2 linked regions of the Canis lupus familiaris genome follow. The protein of the gene in region 2 interacts with the protein of the main gene of each other region in a pairwise test. Links are inferred from orthologs where the notes say so. Each region holds a gene or a part of one and is shown on either strand. Other genes may lie near its edges.

Evidence for each region.
Region 1: the proteins of HOMER3 (region 2) and MOS interact in binary tests that used the Homo sapiens proteins (3 or more experiments, as listed by UniProt). The two-hybrid records come from large-scale screens. The link is inferred for Canis lupus familiaris from reciprocal best matches to the Homo sapiens genes HOMER3 and MOS.

The regions. Positions count from the first base shown.
Region 1 is NC_049250.1:8,007,546-8,015,299, reverse strand, and holds MOS (proto-oncogene serine/threonine-protein kinase mos), read left to right. Parts: upstream 1-2,945; 5' UTR 2,946-5,578; coding exon 5,579-6,697; 3' UTR 6,698-6,811; downstream 6,812-7,754.
Region 2 is NC_049241.1:44,585,305-44,592,993, forward strand, and holds the start of HOMER3 (homer protein homolog 3), read left to right. Parts: upstream 1-3,698; 5' UTR 3,699-3,834; intron 3,835-3,940; exon of another isoform or gene 3,941-4,470; intron 4,471-4,815; exon of another isoform or gene 4,816-5,509; 5' UTR 5,510-5,577; coding exon 5,578-5,591; intron 5,592-5,670; coding exon 5,671-5,827; intron 5,828-6,078; coding exon 6,079-6,210; intron 6,211-7,494; coding exon 7,495-7,602; intron 7,603-7,689. UniProt on the Homo sapiens protein: Postsynaptic density scaffolding protein. Binds and cross-links cytoplasmic regions of GRM1, GRM5, ITPR1, DNM3, RYR1, RYR2, SHANK1 and SHANK3.

The sequences.
Region 1 (7,754 bases), on a different chromosome or scaffold from region 2:
AGACTCACAACAAATTATTATGAGTGACTCTACCAGACAATAATTGGACTACACATCCTTAAGTGTAGGCATTAAGTATAAGGATAAAAATAACTGCAAAGAAATCTTAATCTTTATTTAATAATTGTCAGACAACATTAGTAATTATGTTAATTTTGTTTAGAATCAAGATTTTAAATATAAGAAGGAAATTATGAAATCAAAATGTTTTAACTAGGAACTATAATGTTAGAACTGAATTAGAAATATCAATATGAACACGTTTTTTGAAAAAGTATGTTTTCTAATTCCATGAGCTAAAATGAGCTAGGGTCAAAGGCCTAAGAGAATGAACCTAATGTGTAAACTTTACTATTATGATTTCTAATCCTATCTCTCCAGGATACCCTGGAGAAATGGCTGATTCTGGGGTACCTGGGTGGCTCAGAAGACAGAGGCTTATTATGCTCAGTCATGATCTCAGGGTCCCAGGATGGAGCCCCACTTTGGGCTCCCTGATCTGCAGGAAGCCTGAATCTCCCTCTCCCTCTGCCTGGCACTCTCCCTATTTATGCTCTTTCTCTGTCAAATAAATAAATAAAATCTTTTAAAAAGAAAGAAAAGAAAAAAGAAATGGCTGATTCCATGTCTAGGGTATGGCGGGTTATAAGCCTGGGTCAATTTATTGTATCAGTAGATGAGAAATAATACAGATTAATGAGACTGTGTCAAAAGAACACAAGTGTTTTAATACCTTAATACCCAGGGGTGCATTAATTTGAGCAATAAAAGACAATGAGTGTTACATTTGGTTAAATCACATTGAATGTCTGAAAAGCCATTGAGTCCATACTGATATACAAGAAAAAATTGGCATACAGCTGAATAAAAGTGGTGAATTTAATAGCCTATATTACTTCTGAATCCTTTATTCCAATATGATGTTATTTTGATTCATTTACTTTATCAGTGAAAGATACAGAACTCAGTAAATATTAAAAACATAATTTAAAAGTGTTTTCTGGTTTAAAGGTGGATGCCAATATAATGATCCCAATAAGGTGTAACTGTATGTTGAACAAAGATATTCAAGATCACCAAATTTCAATCAAATATCATTACAAATATCCATAAGCATTTTATGGTCTTAAGAATATGGAAAAATTGCAAGATACCATTAAACTCAAAGATCTTTAAAACTGATTTGAAAGGCATTTGCTAAGGTCTTAAAATCCTGTTAAGTTGGAAGGTAGAGAAATTAGAAGTTAAACACTACAGAAGTAAAAATATACTTATCTTAAGAGCCGAAATACAAAATCCAAGTAAACAGCCCAGGTAAGAGCCACCAACTTCTGTGAATGCACAGAAGAAGCAGGTAGCATGTGCAGATTCCACCCAGAAACATGATCCATGCAATCCACAGCATTACTGTCTGGCAAGCGGGAACCTGTGTGTATTTCAGATTTTATACACTTGTAACATGTGGGAGAATTTGGCCTATTAGAATGATGGCCTGTATCTCTAATTTAAAATGTATGATTCAATAATTTGTTTAGATTGGTGATTCTAAATTAAGATATGACTATGTACAATATTCAACCTACTATTAAAAAAAAAGCTTGAGATTCGTCACATTCATTGTTTAATTCAGTAAACTTATTAAGTATTTAATATTCAGGATAGATTAGGGAGAACTTAGTGACAGCTTAGCATATATTAAATAAAGCCAATGAACTTTTGCCACTGACCCAAATTATAAGAGGCTGTATCATAATCAACCCCTATCTGTTTCAAGAAAGCAATTTTATTAACAAAAAACATACGAGCTGATAAATACTACTATTGGCCAAAGTCATGTATATGAATGGAAATATACATAAAGTAAAATTAAGGCTGCCTGGGTGGCTGAATAGGTTAAGCTATGCCTTGGGCTCAGGTCATGATCCCAGGGTCGGGGGATGGCGCCCCGCCTCAGGCTCAGTGCTAGTCTGGTTCTCCTTCCTACGCCTTCAAAGGGTTCCTTCTGTTTGTATAAGCTTTAAGCCCCCACAAAACCTGGATCTGCCCCTGGGCATATTATTTTAGAAAAACCAAAGTAGCTCTCCAGGCTTCTGTACGGACATGGGAACATACATAATTCTTGCTGACCATAAAATTCAAACTTCATAATATTAATTAATAATATAATTCCACTTAAGTAAAAAAAAATTTAAAGTTTTTCAACTTTATAGTTTTTATTTTTAGCAAAGCACGTCTTCACTTATTATTTTAGCTCCAAAAAAAAAAAAAAAAAAAGGCAAAAGTTTATTTTCGACTTCGACTGATGCTTGCAAACAGCAGCAGTACAACCCTTCGAGCCTTCGAGGACTGCAGGGCGCCCCCTCCTTGGCCTTCGGACTTTCTGGGGTCGGGCTGTAACCGGAGATCCCGGGCGGCGGGTCCCGAGGCGCGCACGCGCAGACGCGGCCCGAGGGCTCGACGTGGGCGTCAGCGGGCGAGGGCGCGCCGTGCGGGCTGGAGTTGCACGGCCTCTTAAAGATGTCTCCCGGAAGGCTACGTGATGATGCTGAGCGCACGAAGATGCACTTCTGTGCGCGCAGGGGGCACGGGCACGCCGCAGCGGGGCGCAGTGAGCCCGGGCACAGGCCGCCTCGGCGGGACGGCCGGCCACGTGCTTCCCCGCGCCCGGGAGGCTGCGCGCCGACCCCAGGGCCGGGAGGCCTCGGGCAGCTCGCCCACGGCGTCCTCGTGCCCGCCGCCTGCGCACGGCCGCGCGGGACGGCGCCCTCCCGAGCCCCGGAGCCGAGGAAGACCCTGCGCGAGCCGCGAGGTTGTCTCCCGCGAGCCGCGCTCCTCCCCGTCTGCCGCTGAAGCGGAGTTCAGCGCGCTGCCCCGCCGCCGCCCCGCCGCTGTCCGCCGCCGCCGCCGCCGCCGCCCCGCCGCCGCCACAGCTGCGGATGCGTACGCCGAGCCTTGCCTGAAACCCACGCAGCTCCCCACAGGCGTGCTGCCAGGCGGAGCAGAAAACGGAAAGCCTTTAAGAACCGGAGAGCCTTCTGCTCCTCACCGGGTGCCCCCAGTCTGGTTCATTTGCACTTCTAGGAGACAGTGCCTACCCTGTCATTAACGAATATTCTTTGCCTTTATTTGCTATGACGAGATGACTGCATTTGATCAGATAAATGTTGACCCTCTGCATTCCTAGTATATAACAATAAGGCAATATACTCTTAACATATCTAACCTCAAATAAAATTTAAGTTAGAAGACCAGTCAGACTTCGGTTTAGCTTAAGTAATGAGTCACTTCAGCCCTAGCAGGGTACGCTTTTTTATTTTTTTTAAGAATTTTTATTTATTTATTCATAGAAACAGAGAGAGGGGCAGAGACACAGGCAGAAGGAGAAGCAGGCTCCACGCAACAAGCCTGACGCGGGACTCGATCCCGGGTCTCCAGGATCACACCCCGGGCTGCAGGCGGCGCTAAACCGCTGCGCCACCGGGGCCGCCCAGCAGGGTACGCTTTGACACCGTCTTAACAAATCTGTTTCTTACAGCATAAGCCCATATACACTTTATGAGTTTCATAAATGATAATTAGCAATTAGGAATTACTTATCATGTCCTGATCTAAGTATTTGCTGTGAATACTGACAGCAGTCCTCAGGCAGATTTTCCTCGTCTTACAGATAAGGAAACTGAAGGATAGTAAGAAACCCAGGCAATCTGGCCCCAGAGGCTGTTTTAAAATGGATATTCAACGAAATACTCTTGAGCAGATTGGCAGATGCTAGATATAATGAACTTGGGGCTTGTGAATGTAGAGTGCCACATTTTCATTAATACCTTGTATCTTATATAAGTAATAAAATCAACCTTTGTAAAATGAATTACCTATGCTCTTAGCTTAAACATAAAGATTATATAACAAGTCACATCATTTTGCAAAGAAGGTTATGACACTCTTTTGATCAATATAGCATTCCTAATACCATAAAAGTTTCGGAGACCTAAATTATAATGCCAACTATGTGATGACTATTAAATAAATTTTGTAATAGACTTACTGTAGAATATAATTTTATTACTTTCTTATTTTACTCTCTTCACTGTCATTCTTTTATATTTTGGTTTTGATTCAACTGCCTTTCTACTAATATATTTTATAATATACATTTTTAGACTTTCTTTATTTGTACAGGGCTCCCGAACTTTTATTCCAAAATTAAAAAGTTTATTATTATCCTAATTTCTTAACTGAAAAAAAAAAAAACCAAGGCTCAAACAGATTAAATATTACACACAATATCTAAGGCAGATGGGTAGTATAGACTAGAAATCCTACCCTAGGGCCCAACAGACTTCAAATGGTTTATGTAAATGGCTTGTGTTTATTCACATATCTTCTCAGAATCAATATATCTCAGAAACAGACCTCTTTTATAAAAATGAAGGTGGTTAAACATCACCTATATGCTAAGTACAATAAGTTAAAACAGAATTTTACCAATTTTTTAAAAATATGGATCCTAACACCTTCCTATGTTTTTTAATCAACAGGTTAGTATTATTGGTCTTTTCCTCAAATATGGAATGCAAATTAGTGGGAGGTGGGGAGTTATAAAAACTAGAAAGAAAGAACTTATGGTTGAGTAGCAAGACTCATTTATTTTTAACATCTGGGTTTCCACATTATATATAGGCAGTGGTGATTCTGTGCCATTTTTATTCGGATTTTTCCTCTTCTAGGATTCTCTCATATTTGTTATTCTTTGAAGCTCTGATTATGGCTCTGAATCTGAATTTTTTTTCTCCCCCAACTCTGTTTCAAAACTTCTGTAACTCATTTGCCATGAAGTCTAAGATCTCTCTTGCAAGTGAGCTTACTGGGTGGGCCAAACTGCCATGGAACAGGACTGTTAGGAAGTCGATATGTTGCTAAGAAATCTTGCTAATTTGCTATATGAGCTGAATGGAGTGTCAGAGAATTTTCCTTTCCCCTGATGACCTTAGGAGGTGTATGTTTTGACCTGTATTAGTGATTGTATTTGGATCAATTACTTTAAGGTTACAATTTTTTATCCATATATGAATGTTGCACCTAATTATCCCCATAATCGGCTAAACAAATGTCAGCTGTTCGTATTTCAAATATTTCTGCCAATAACTGCTGGAAGTGATTTAATGCAGCTGGAGAATAACACTGACAATCATTATAGCCTGCAAAATGTGAAATAATTTCATTGCACTATATAGTCTCTTTAGTCTGAACACTGATCATGTTCAGTGGATGACACTTAAAAAAAAAGCTGTTTTTTTTTATAATTAAATAATAAATAATGGAAAAAGGGGGTGAGTCCACAGGCAGCTCACTGCTGTTTATCTGGCGAACTCTTCTGGGTGGAGAGCTTATTTTTATAAAAAGTCACTTTAAGTGTTGAAGGGAAATATTTTCATCTAAAAAGGAGGATTGTACTTCATTCAGACTGCTTCCGCTCATCTGATAAAAACCCTTGTGAGTAACAGCACAGACACGGCTCATTTGGGGAAAATGAAGGAAGAGGAGAAAAGCGCTGGGCGGAGCAAAGGAGGAGTCAGAGATGCTTCCAAACTCGTGGGACCCTCTTCTTTTGGTTTACCTGAGCCACTTTGGGGTCCACTTTGAAGGTGCCATGCCCTCACCTCTTTCCCGGCACAGTTACCTCCCCAGTGAGTTTTCTCCCTCGGTGGACTCGCGGCCCTGCAGCAGCCCTTCTGAGCTCCCAAGTAAAGCAGGGAAGCTCTTCCTGGGTGGCACTCCTCCCAGGGCTCCAAGGCTACCACGTCGGCTGGCCTGGTGCTCCATCGACTGGGAACAGGTGTGCTTCCTGCAGAGGCTGGGAGCTGGCGGGTTTGGCTCCGTGTACAAGGCGACTTACCATGGTGTTCTGGTGGCCATAAAACAAGTGAACAAGTGCACCAAGAACCGACTGGCATCCCAGCGCAGTTTCTGGGCTGAGCTCAACATCGCAAGGCTTCGCCATGATAACATCGTGCAGGTCGTGGCTGCAAGCACACGCACACCTGCGGGATTTAACAGCCTAGGCACCATAATCATGGAGTTTGGTGGCAATGTCACCTTACACCAAGTCATATACGGTGCCACAAGCTGCTCTGAGAAGGATGTGCAGCCTCACTGCTGTGCCGGAGAGCAATTAAATCTGGGAAAGTGTCTGCAGTATTCCCTAGATATTGTGAAAGGCCTGCTTTTCCTTCACTCACAAAACATTGTACACTTGGACCTGAAGCCGGCTAACATTCTGATCAGTGAGCAGGATGTCTGCAAAATTGGGGACTTCGGTTGCTCAGAGAAGCTGGAAGACGTGCTGTGCTTCCAGACTCCTCCCTACCCCCTGGGGGGCACCTACACCCACCGAGCTCCAGAGCTCCTGAAAGGAGAGATGATAACGCCAAAAGCTGACATCTACTCCTTTGCCATCACTCTTTGGCAAATGGCTACCAAGGAGGCGCCCTACTCAGGGGAGCGGCAGTACGTGCTCTACGCTGTGGTGGCCTATAATCTCCGTCCATCTCTGTCAGCAGCTGTCTTCACTGACTCCATCTCTGGGAAAAGACTTGAGAAGATCATCCAGTGCTGCTGGAGGGCCAGCGCTCTACAGCGGCCAAGTGCAGAACTCCTCCTGGTTGACCTTAACTCTTTAAGAGCTGAATTTGACTGACTCCATCCTGTACCCTCAAGATAAGCTTTGCCTGTGTTTCTATTCATTTTTAAAGAAGTGACCATGTAGAAAAAAACATATTTGCAGAACGGATTTTTAGAAAATAAAGTTATTTAAAACCCCTTTTGGTCTCAGATGCTCTTTCTAAGACAAATAGCACAGCTACAAATTTGGTAGTCAGCTGAATATTGTTAGTAACTAAACCTATTCCCTTATAGAGATATGCTTTGTTTTCATTGCAAGTGTGCTTAGTGCTATAGTTCTCTAGTATTGTACTTATTCAAATTTGCTATTGATGGAGCCAGCCTGTCCAAAATAGAGCTGCACTGTAAAGTGCCAAAATGTTCTATAAATTCAAATAATATGCTCTGTAACTCCTACCTAAATTTAAAGTATTAACATTTTATTTGCTCCCACACCAAACAAGTAAAAACTTTTGAAAGATATTAATTTTTTCCTGCTCCTCCCCCCAAAACTTCTCATTTGTAATGACCTTCACACATAAAATTCACCAACTGAGGCAAATCTATTTTTAAAGGAATAATATCTCAAATGATTTCTTATGATATTTTGAACTTGTACATGCCATGAGTAGAAACATTGTGCTAATATTCTTCCAAACTGGATCTCTTTTATCTATTTTTTGGACTCAGAAGTAGATGATAAAGCAAAGACTTTACATTACATGAGGGAAAAATGATGATCCTGAGGGACAGTAAAATTTAACATTTGGATGGAAGAGACCAGACAAGTAAAACCAGACTGCCCATTCTAGAAAATCAAGACAATGGTTGCCAGTACCTAAGATTTAAGAGAATGAAGTGACTGAGTTTTGTCATTAGGACCACTTTGACTTCCATTTAGCAACAGTAGTTTCTGTGAATGGGGAGGGTAAGGCCATTGCAATGGACCAGACAAGTATGGCAAGGACTTGATGTAGAACCTGTACTTGGGCTGTAGAGGAAAAATGGAGGTAGCCGAAACTTTGAAAAGGGATAAGATATATGTTTTTGGATTTGGGGTTTGGTTTAGTTGTCTTAAGATGAAGAAAGTGAGT
Region 2 (7,689 bases):
GCTCAAACCCAATGTCAGATGCCCTCCTCCCAGCCCCTTCACATCTTCCAGGGGCTGCTTGTTTCACGAATTAACCTTGGCCTTGTGCAGAAGTTGAGTTGGATCTGAATTTAAGGTGGGGTCTCTCTAGAGTGATGAAACATCACCAATATTGAGTCATCAAGTTCTCCTATGCCATGACCCCCATGCATCCACTGCATGCTGGGAGAGCTAGACACAGACACCCCTAGTCCCTAGGATCAGAGTTGGGTCAGAAGGAGGGAGGGTGTTGGGGAGAGTTTAGAGGGAGACATGGGATGGCTTCTCAGAGAAGGGAGCATTAGAGGTGGGATGAATAGGAGCTTCTTAGGAGGCCAAGGTCTGGTGGCTGGCCCAACTGGCCATGGCTGAGGGAACATGGAGAAAGAGGATGAATGTGGCTAGAGGAGCATATAAGGTCCCATAGCTAAAGATTTAGAAGTTATCATGCCAAGTTGGATATTATTTCTGTCCTTAAAAACTCATACCTAGTTGATCTCTCAACCCCTGACAGAAAATATTCAGAATTTGGCTCAGGATCAAAAGCATATGTCCAGACAGCCAAGAATAAATATAATGTTTATAACAACCAGAATTTATTAAGGTGTCAGGGTCATGCCCTTTTCACACAAGGACTTGTTGGATCCTTAAAGTAAACTTCAGCACCATTTTTATGTCCCTTTTATACATGGGGTAACTAAGGCACAGAGAGGGAAAATGGCTTCTTTAAGGTCACACTGTTCTTAAGAGGCAGGGCTGGGAGTCACTCGTTGGTCACATGACTCTGGAGGCCACCAAGGACCAAGACTGGGGCTTGAGGATCCTCTCCTTCTTGAAGCATTTCAAGAGTTCCTGCTGCAGGTCAGGCTTGATCTAGGTGCTGGGGACAGAACCATGGAAGAGGTGGACAGTAACCAAATGGCCACTGTCATCCACATCATGAAGTTGGGCACGTAGCTTTGGGAAAGAGTGACAGACTTCCCCTGATCTGGTGGGATAGGAACTCTCCAGGGATGAGAGACAATTTAGCTTCAATCCAGAGGTGGGTCAGATTTAACTAGGCAGAGAGCAGAATCTAACCCATAAGAGCCACTCTACAAATACAGCATCCCTAGAGCTGAAGAAACTTTTCGAGGCTCTGCTTGGCCTTTTCTGTGACAGGAAGTTTGTTCCCTTATATCCCTCTCTCATGCCCAAGGGAAAGCTATTGCTTCTTTTTTTTTTTTTTTAAAGCTATTGCTTCTTATCAGCCACCCTGGGGTGGTGGCCTCTGCCCATTCTATAAGGACATCCCCAGGCAGACTAGGCCTCAGGCTGGGGTAGAGGTGGCAGCTTGGGGCAGCCCCCTACTGTCTCTACCCACAGGAGAGTGAGGAGCTGCTCGTGTTCCCCAGATTCTCCTGCTTCCTCTCTCTACCCCTTTGCCCTGCAAGCGTCAGACCATTCTCCAGGTGAAAAAAGTGAGGTCCACACTGACAAAGCCATTCCCTCAATTTGTACTTGAGTGACACTACATCAGGTCAGGGCTGCTCAAGGCGAGCCCCATCCCAACTTCTCCTGGAGCCCTGAGGGGGGCCCAGGGAAGTGATTCAACTCCCCACTCTCCGTCATGTTGTTGCCTTCTGCCCACACAAGGAATAAAGTCAGCCTAGGCCCCTCTCCTGGCCACCCCCACAGAATAGCCACATGGCCCTAGCTCTGTAGCCGGCCAACACAGCACACCCTGAGTGGCCTCCAGAAGCCTCGGCCCTGTCGGCACCTTTCCCAGTTACTTAATTTTTTTTTTAATTATTTTTTTGGTAATAAGGAAAAGTCACTCTTTGCACAGAACAGACGGTATTTTCTTTGTTCCCCACAATGTTCAAAGCGTTTTGTGGCTTCAGGCCTGAAAGTGAAGCCAAATCCTTTGCTTGTGCAGATGCCTTGTGAAGTTAGAAGCAGCTGGGGAAACTGAGCCTGAGCCTCAGTTTCCCCAGCAGGGGTGAGCGGTTCCTCTCATACTGGGTGAGACTGGGGCTCCAGGATGGGCTAGTCCTCCAAAGACTGCTCAGACCTGGCCACGATGGAAGTAATACACAGATAATACACATCAGGGAAGGGACGCCTGGGTGGCTCAGTGGTTGAGTGTCTGCTTTTGGCTCAGGGCGTGATCCCGGGGTCCTGGGATTGGGCTCCCCATAGGGAGCCTGCTTCTCCTTCTGTCTGTCTCTGTCTTTCTTTCTGTGTCTCTCATGAATAAATAAAATCTTAAAAAAAAAATACGGATGAAGGGTCCCAGAGAAAGTGATGGGGTCCTGGTGCAGTACACAGCGAGATCCCTTCCAAGCCCCAGATAGAGTAGCTTCTAGGGCAAGAGGGGCCAGTGGAGCAGAGCCTGGAAGGACAAGGCCAAATATACACCAGCAGAAATGGCATTCCAGGTGTAGGGGAGAGTTTGGGCAAAGGCCTGAAGCAAGGTAAACTCCATCTTGGTCTGGAAATAAGTCTTCAGAAACGACGCGACCTGGAATTCACCTAAAGGTAATTAGAAGATAGCTACCAGCCCAGATGATTCTGGTCAGGGGAAAACAGAAATAAAAACAGGGAAATGAGACGGGGCGGAGAAGGCAAAAAGCAAAATCTCTGAGATTGTTGGAAAGCTCAAGCATGAGGTTTAGGGCTTTAGGGAACTGTAGGCCTCGGTTTGAGGGAGCTGCAGTGCCTCTGTCCACGAACCCGATGGCACTGTGTGACTTTGGAGGAGTCCAGAGAAAGGGCAGCCACTGGACTGCCAAGTAAGTGGGTCCCACAGGCAGACCCTGGCCTGGGGAGGCTGATCCTGGCTCATCTCCAGTTGGACCCTCTCCTGGCAAGTGCCTGAAGGGTTCCCCCTGACCAGTGATGGCAAACCCAGGCCTGAGGACCTCCAGGAGATTTGCACAATTGGTGGGAGCTGGGCCCCAATATTCGCTCTACCCTGGCTTCTGAGACCCTATAACATAGCAATACTGATAATTCGACCATGTTGGCATTGTTACCTTCCTCTCCTGGGAGACAAGGTGGATAGAAGCCTCTCCCCAACAGGGGATTGGAGCTGGGGGGGGAGTCAGGCAGGAACGATTCCTAACGGGGCACCCCTGATCAAGTCTCATTAAGTGCCTACTGTTTGCCTCTCTCAGCCTCTTCTAGCTTTCGCCCAGCCTGTGTCTGTTTCATTTCCAGGCTACACCCACTGAGCACCTACTGTGTGCAAGCACCCAGCTCCGTGCGATAGAGGAGCCCCGGCCTCTAGATCCCTGTCAGGTGGAGAGGGACTCCCATCAAAGGCAGAAGGTCATGACCTCAGGCAGTGCCCCGAGGGCCAGGGCCGCCCCGACAGGACGATCAAGCCCCATCCTCCATCTGTCTGCCTCCTGTGTCTCTCCCTCATGTCTCTGCCTCTGGGTCTGGGTCTCTGTCCCCATCCGCCCCGGCCCTCTTCCCCGCTCTTCACCCCGCCCCCCGCCCCCAGGGAGTCCCGTCCCGCCCCGCTCCCGGCTTCCGCCCCTCCCTTCCCCCCCCCGCCGCGGAGGGCCGGCAGGGGGCGCTGCGGGGCGGCCTCGGCGGCCCGGGGAGGCGGGGCGGGCGGCGGCCGCGTCGGGACCGGCCGCGATGGGACCGGAGGCGGCGCGGGCGGCGGCGGAGGCGCAGACAAAGGCGCGGGCGGCGCGGAGGGCGGCGCGGAGGGCGCGGGCCCCGGAGCCAGCGAGCGAGCGGGGCGCCCGGCTGCGGGGAGTCGGCGCCGCGGGGCAGCACCCGACTCGCGCCCGGACACTCGCGGGGCGCCGAGCCCGCAGGGTGAGCCCGGCTGTCCGAGCCTGCGCGGGGGACGCGGGGGCCCCCAGGTGCCAGGGCCGGGGCGAGGGCGCGGGGGTCCCCGAAGTTCCGGGCCGGGAGGCTGGGGGCGGCCGGGGAGCCCCGAAGTTCCAGGGCTTGAGAGGGCGCAGGGGCCCCGAAGTTCCGGAGCCGGGGTCGGAGAGGGCACGGGGCGAGGGGTTCCCAAAGTTCCGGACCCGGCGTTGGAGGAGGCTGCGCTGTCCCCGACGTTCCCGGCCTGGGGTTGGGAGGCGGCACGAGAGGATCCCGAAATCACCGACCCGGGGCTGGAGAGCTGGCAGGGAGTCCCCGGAATTTAGAAGTCGGAGGTGGTGCGAGGGATCCCCGAAGTTCTGGACCCGGAGTCGGGGGGCATCGCGCGAATCTCGGAAGTTCCCGGGTCGAGGGTGGCACTTCCCGAAGTCGGGGAGCGCACTGGGCGCCCCGATTCTGACGCGGATGGGAATTCTTTCCTTACTGAATACCAGGCCCCCCAGCCCGGGGCGCATGGGGTGGGGCTTCGCCCCCACACGCAACTGGGGATCCTGGCACCGGGCGGGGTCCGGGCCTCCTCCGGGAGCCCCGCGGCCGGCGGCGACCGAGGCACATGACTAGTTGGTGAGTAACTTTCCCCAAAGCTGCAAGTCGCGGCAGGACCGTCAGGGCCGGCAGGGCCTGGGTTTCTGGGACCCCTGCACCCTGGAACCCTGCTTCGACCCAGGACTTGCTCCCAACCCGGGCCAGCGCTGCCGCCCCTCCCCCACACAGGGGCTCCGGTTTCAGACCCTGTGACCCGGGCAGCAGCTGCCCAGGACAGGGTGGGGGGGCAACCCTCCTCTGACCAGGGAGGCCGCTCCGCGGGGGGCCTCCCTTCCCCCACTGGCCACCTCCCTTCCCCAGGTCCCTCCTGGTCCCCTGCAGATCCCCCAGATGCAGGTTTTGGAGGCACAGAGGTGAGGTTAAGGAATTCTCCAGGGCAGCCATTCCTGGTATCTGTGAGGTCGTGGCTGGAGGCAGCAAGAGGGGCTGGGGATCTCCCAATCCTTGATGCCACCCAGCCCTGCATGGTATTGGGATAGAGTGGTCATGGGCAATCGGTTAGTGGGTACCAGGGTAAATTTGTTTGACTACATCTTCTTAACTAGGCTGGCAGCTCCCTGGGGATTTGGACTCTGCCTCCAAGTGTGCCTCTGCCCTAGAGTGGAAGCTGAGGGGTCCCTCTGTGGGATCTAGGAGGAACTGGTCTCCCAGGAGGCATCTGGTGATGGCCACATTTTGATGGAGATCCTGGTTTGGGGAGTGATGAGTGAATGTGGCAGAAAATACCAAGTAGGAGTTCACCTTGGCCTTCTCTATCTAGCACCAGTATTGAGGGGGTGTCACTCTGGGTTCAGTAACCAGCATGCTGACAAGTTTATGCTGGGAGATCCAGGGCCACCTGGCTCCTCTCGGAGAGTCATCTCCTGCTCAGGGTGTGTGGGGGCTTCCTCCCAAAGGAGAGGGACAGGGTGTTTTTGCTGAATGATCTGCTGATTCCTTTACCTTTCTAATTGAGGTTCTATGAATGGTGTGGCTGGTGGTGGGTCCTGAGGTTGGACCCGCTTGGTTTCCTTAAGCCTGTCCTGGGGAGACACTCACAATCCCTCTCTCCCCCCAGAGGCTGAACCCGCAGCTCCTGCCATCCCTCTGGCTGCCTCTTGGAGCCCACCCAACCCAACCTGACCAATGTCCACAGCCAGGTGAGCCCCTGCCTCCCCAGCTTGGCCCTGAGCCCCCTGGGGGATGCCTAGCCCCACTGAGAACCGTCTCCCCACGCAGGGAGCAGCCCATCTTCAGCACACGGGCACATGTGTTCCAGATTGACCCGGCCACCAAGCGGAACTGGATCCCCGCGGGCAAGCACGCACTCACGGTCTCCTACTTCTATGATGCCACCCGAAATGTCTACCGAATCATCAGCATTGGGGGTGCCAAGGTCCTGGCAGGGCCTGGGTGGGGGTGGCAGGCTCCTGAGGTCTCAGAGGCAGGTTTGGGTCTAGTCATTACCCTGCTGTGTGCCTGGGGGCTGGGGGTTGGGAGGAGCCCTTAAATCAGTCTCTGTCTTGAGATGGCTCACACCTAGAACCTCCCAAGAGCTAATACAAAGTGACACCCTGGGGGTCTCATGTTCATTATTGTCAGTCTCATCAAGCTTGAATTGTGTTCCCCCCTCTTCCCTCTTCCCAGGCCATCATCAACAGCACCGTCACCCCCAACATGACCTTTACCAAAACCTCCCAGAAGTTTGGGCAGTGGGCAGACAGTCGTGCCAACACCGTCTATGGCCTTGGCTTTGCTTCTGAGCAGCATCTGACCCAGGTGGGCTTGCAGGATTACATGGCGGGAAGGACAGGGCTGGCCCTGGGGTTCCTCTTAGGGCCCTGGGGGCCTCTGGGCAGGTGCTGTAGAATAGGCATGAGAATTAGACAACCCTTCCTGGTTCCCTGGCTCATGTCTCAGCTCTGCTGGCCATCTGCTCCAATTTTGGACACACCCCGCCCTTCTCTGGGTGCCTGGGATGAGCTGGGAGTTCCCTCACACACCCTAGCACTACCTTCATCATTGCCTCCCTCCACCCTCTGCTGTCTTCAGACTTCAATATTGTCTCATCCCATTGTTCCCCTGGATGAGTAGTGCTTTCTGATTCCTAATGAGATCGTGAGGATTCTCTTTGCTTCTAGAAGCTTTCATTTTCCTTTCAAATTTAGGTCTTGAATTAATTTCTGTGGGTGGTATAAAGCAGGAGTATTTTTTCTCACTGAGTATTTAGTTGCTCTTCAACCGTTTTTTGAGATGATTTCCCTCCAACGACTTGCACTGGTCTCTTCCCCCCAATCGAGTGACCGTCTGTGTGTAAACATTTTCTTTAAAAAATTATTTTCAAACTAAAGAAGTTTATTTTAAAATGAAAACCAGTGTATCCTACCCTAACTGGAAAATCGGTATAGGTAGAGTAGGAATGAGAAGAGGGTGATTTACTTTTTCACTGAGTACAGGTGCCTCTCAGAGGCTCTGAGCCCAAGACCTGCTTTCTCTGTGTTATAAAAAGATATTCACAAGTGTCCGGGGCATTAAAGACAGCACCCACCTGAGGCTCTCCTTGCTGAAATAAGCCTGACTGAGAGGAAGGGGATCCCTTTCTTTCTTTCTTTTTTTTTTTTTTCAAGATTTTATTTATTTATTCATGAGAGACACACAGAGAAAGAGGCAGAGACATAGGCAGAGGGAGAAGCAGGCTCCACAAAGGAAGCCCGATTCAGGACTCGACCCCTGTACTCTGGGATCACACCCTGAGCCGAAGGCAAATGCCCAACCGCTGAGCCACTCAGGCGTTCCAGGGGATCCCTTTCTCAAGGTGGCTCCATGGAATTCACGTCCACCTAAATCCTACCTCCACCATGATACTCAGTCTGCTCACTGGAACAACTTATTCCAAGCCTCCTGACCACTCTTCCAGTTCATGAGACCAGAGGATATGCATGACTCCTAAAGTCCCTTTCAAAGTGACAAGGGTGGTGCTGGGTGGGGGTGACCAAGTGAGGCCCTGGGAGAGGGGGCTGGGTTGGCTTTGACTGTTTGTTCTGCTCCCCTCCCCACCCCCAGTTTGCTGAGAAGTTCCAGGAAGTAAAGGAAGCAGCGAGGCTGGCGAGGGAGAAATCTCAGGATGGGGGGGAGCTCACCAGTCCAGCCCTGGCGCTCGCTGCCCACCAGGTCAGTATTTCCTGTCCCATGCCTGCCAGTCACTCAGCTGATACTGAGGGTCCAGGTACTGTGCTGGTGCCCAGGACCAAATGCTCA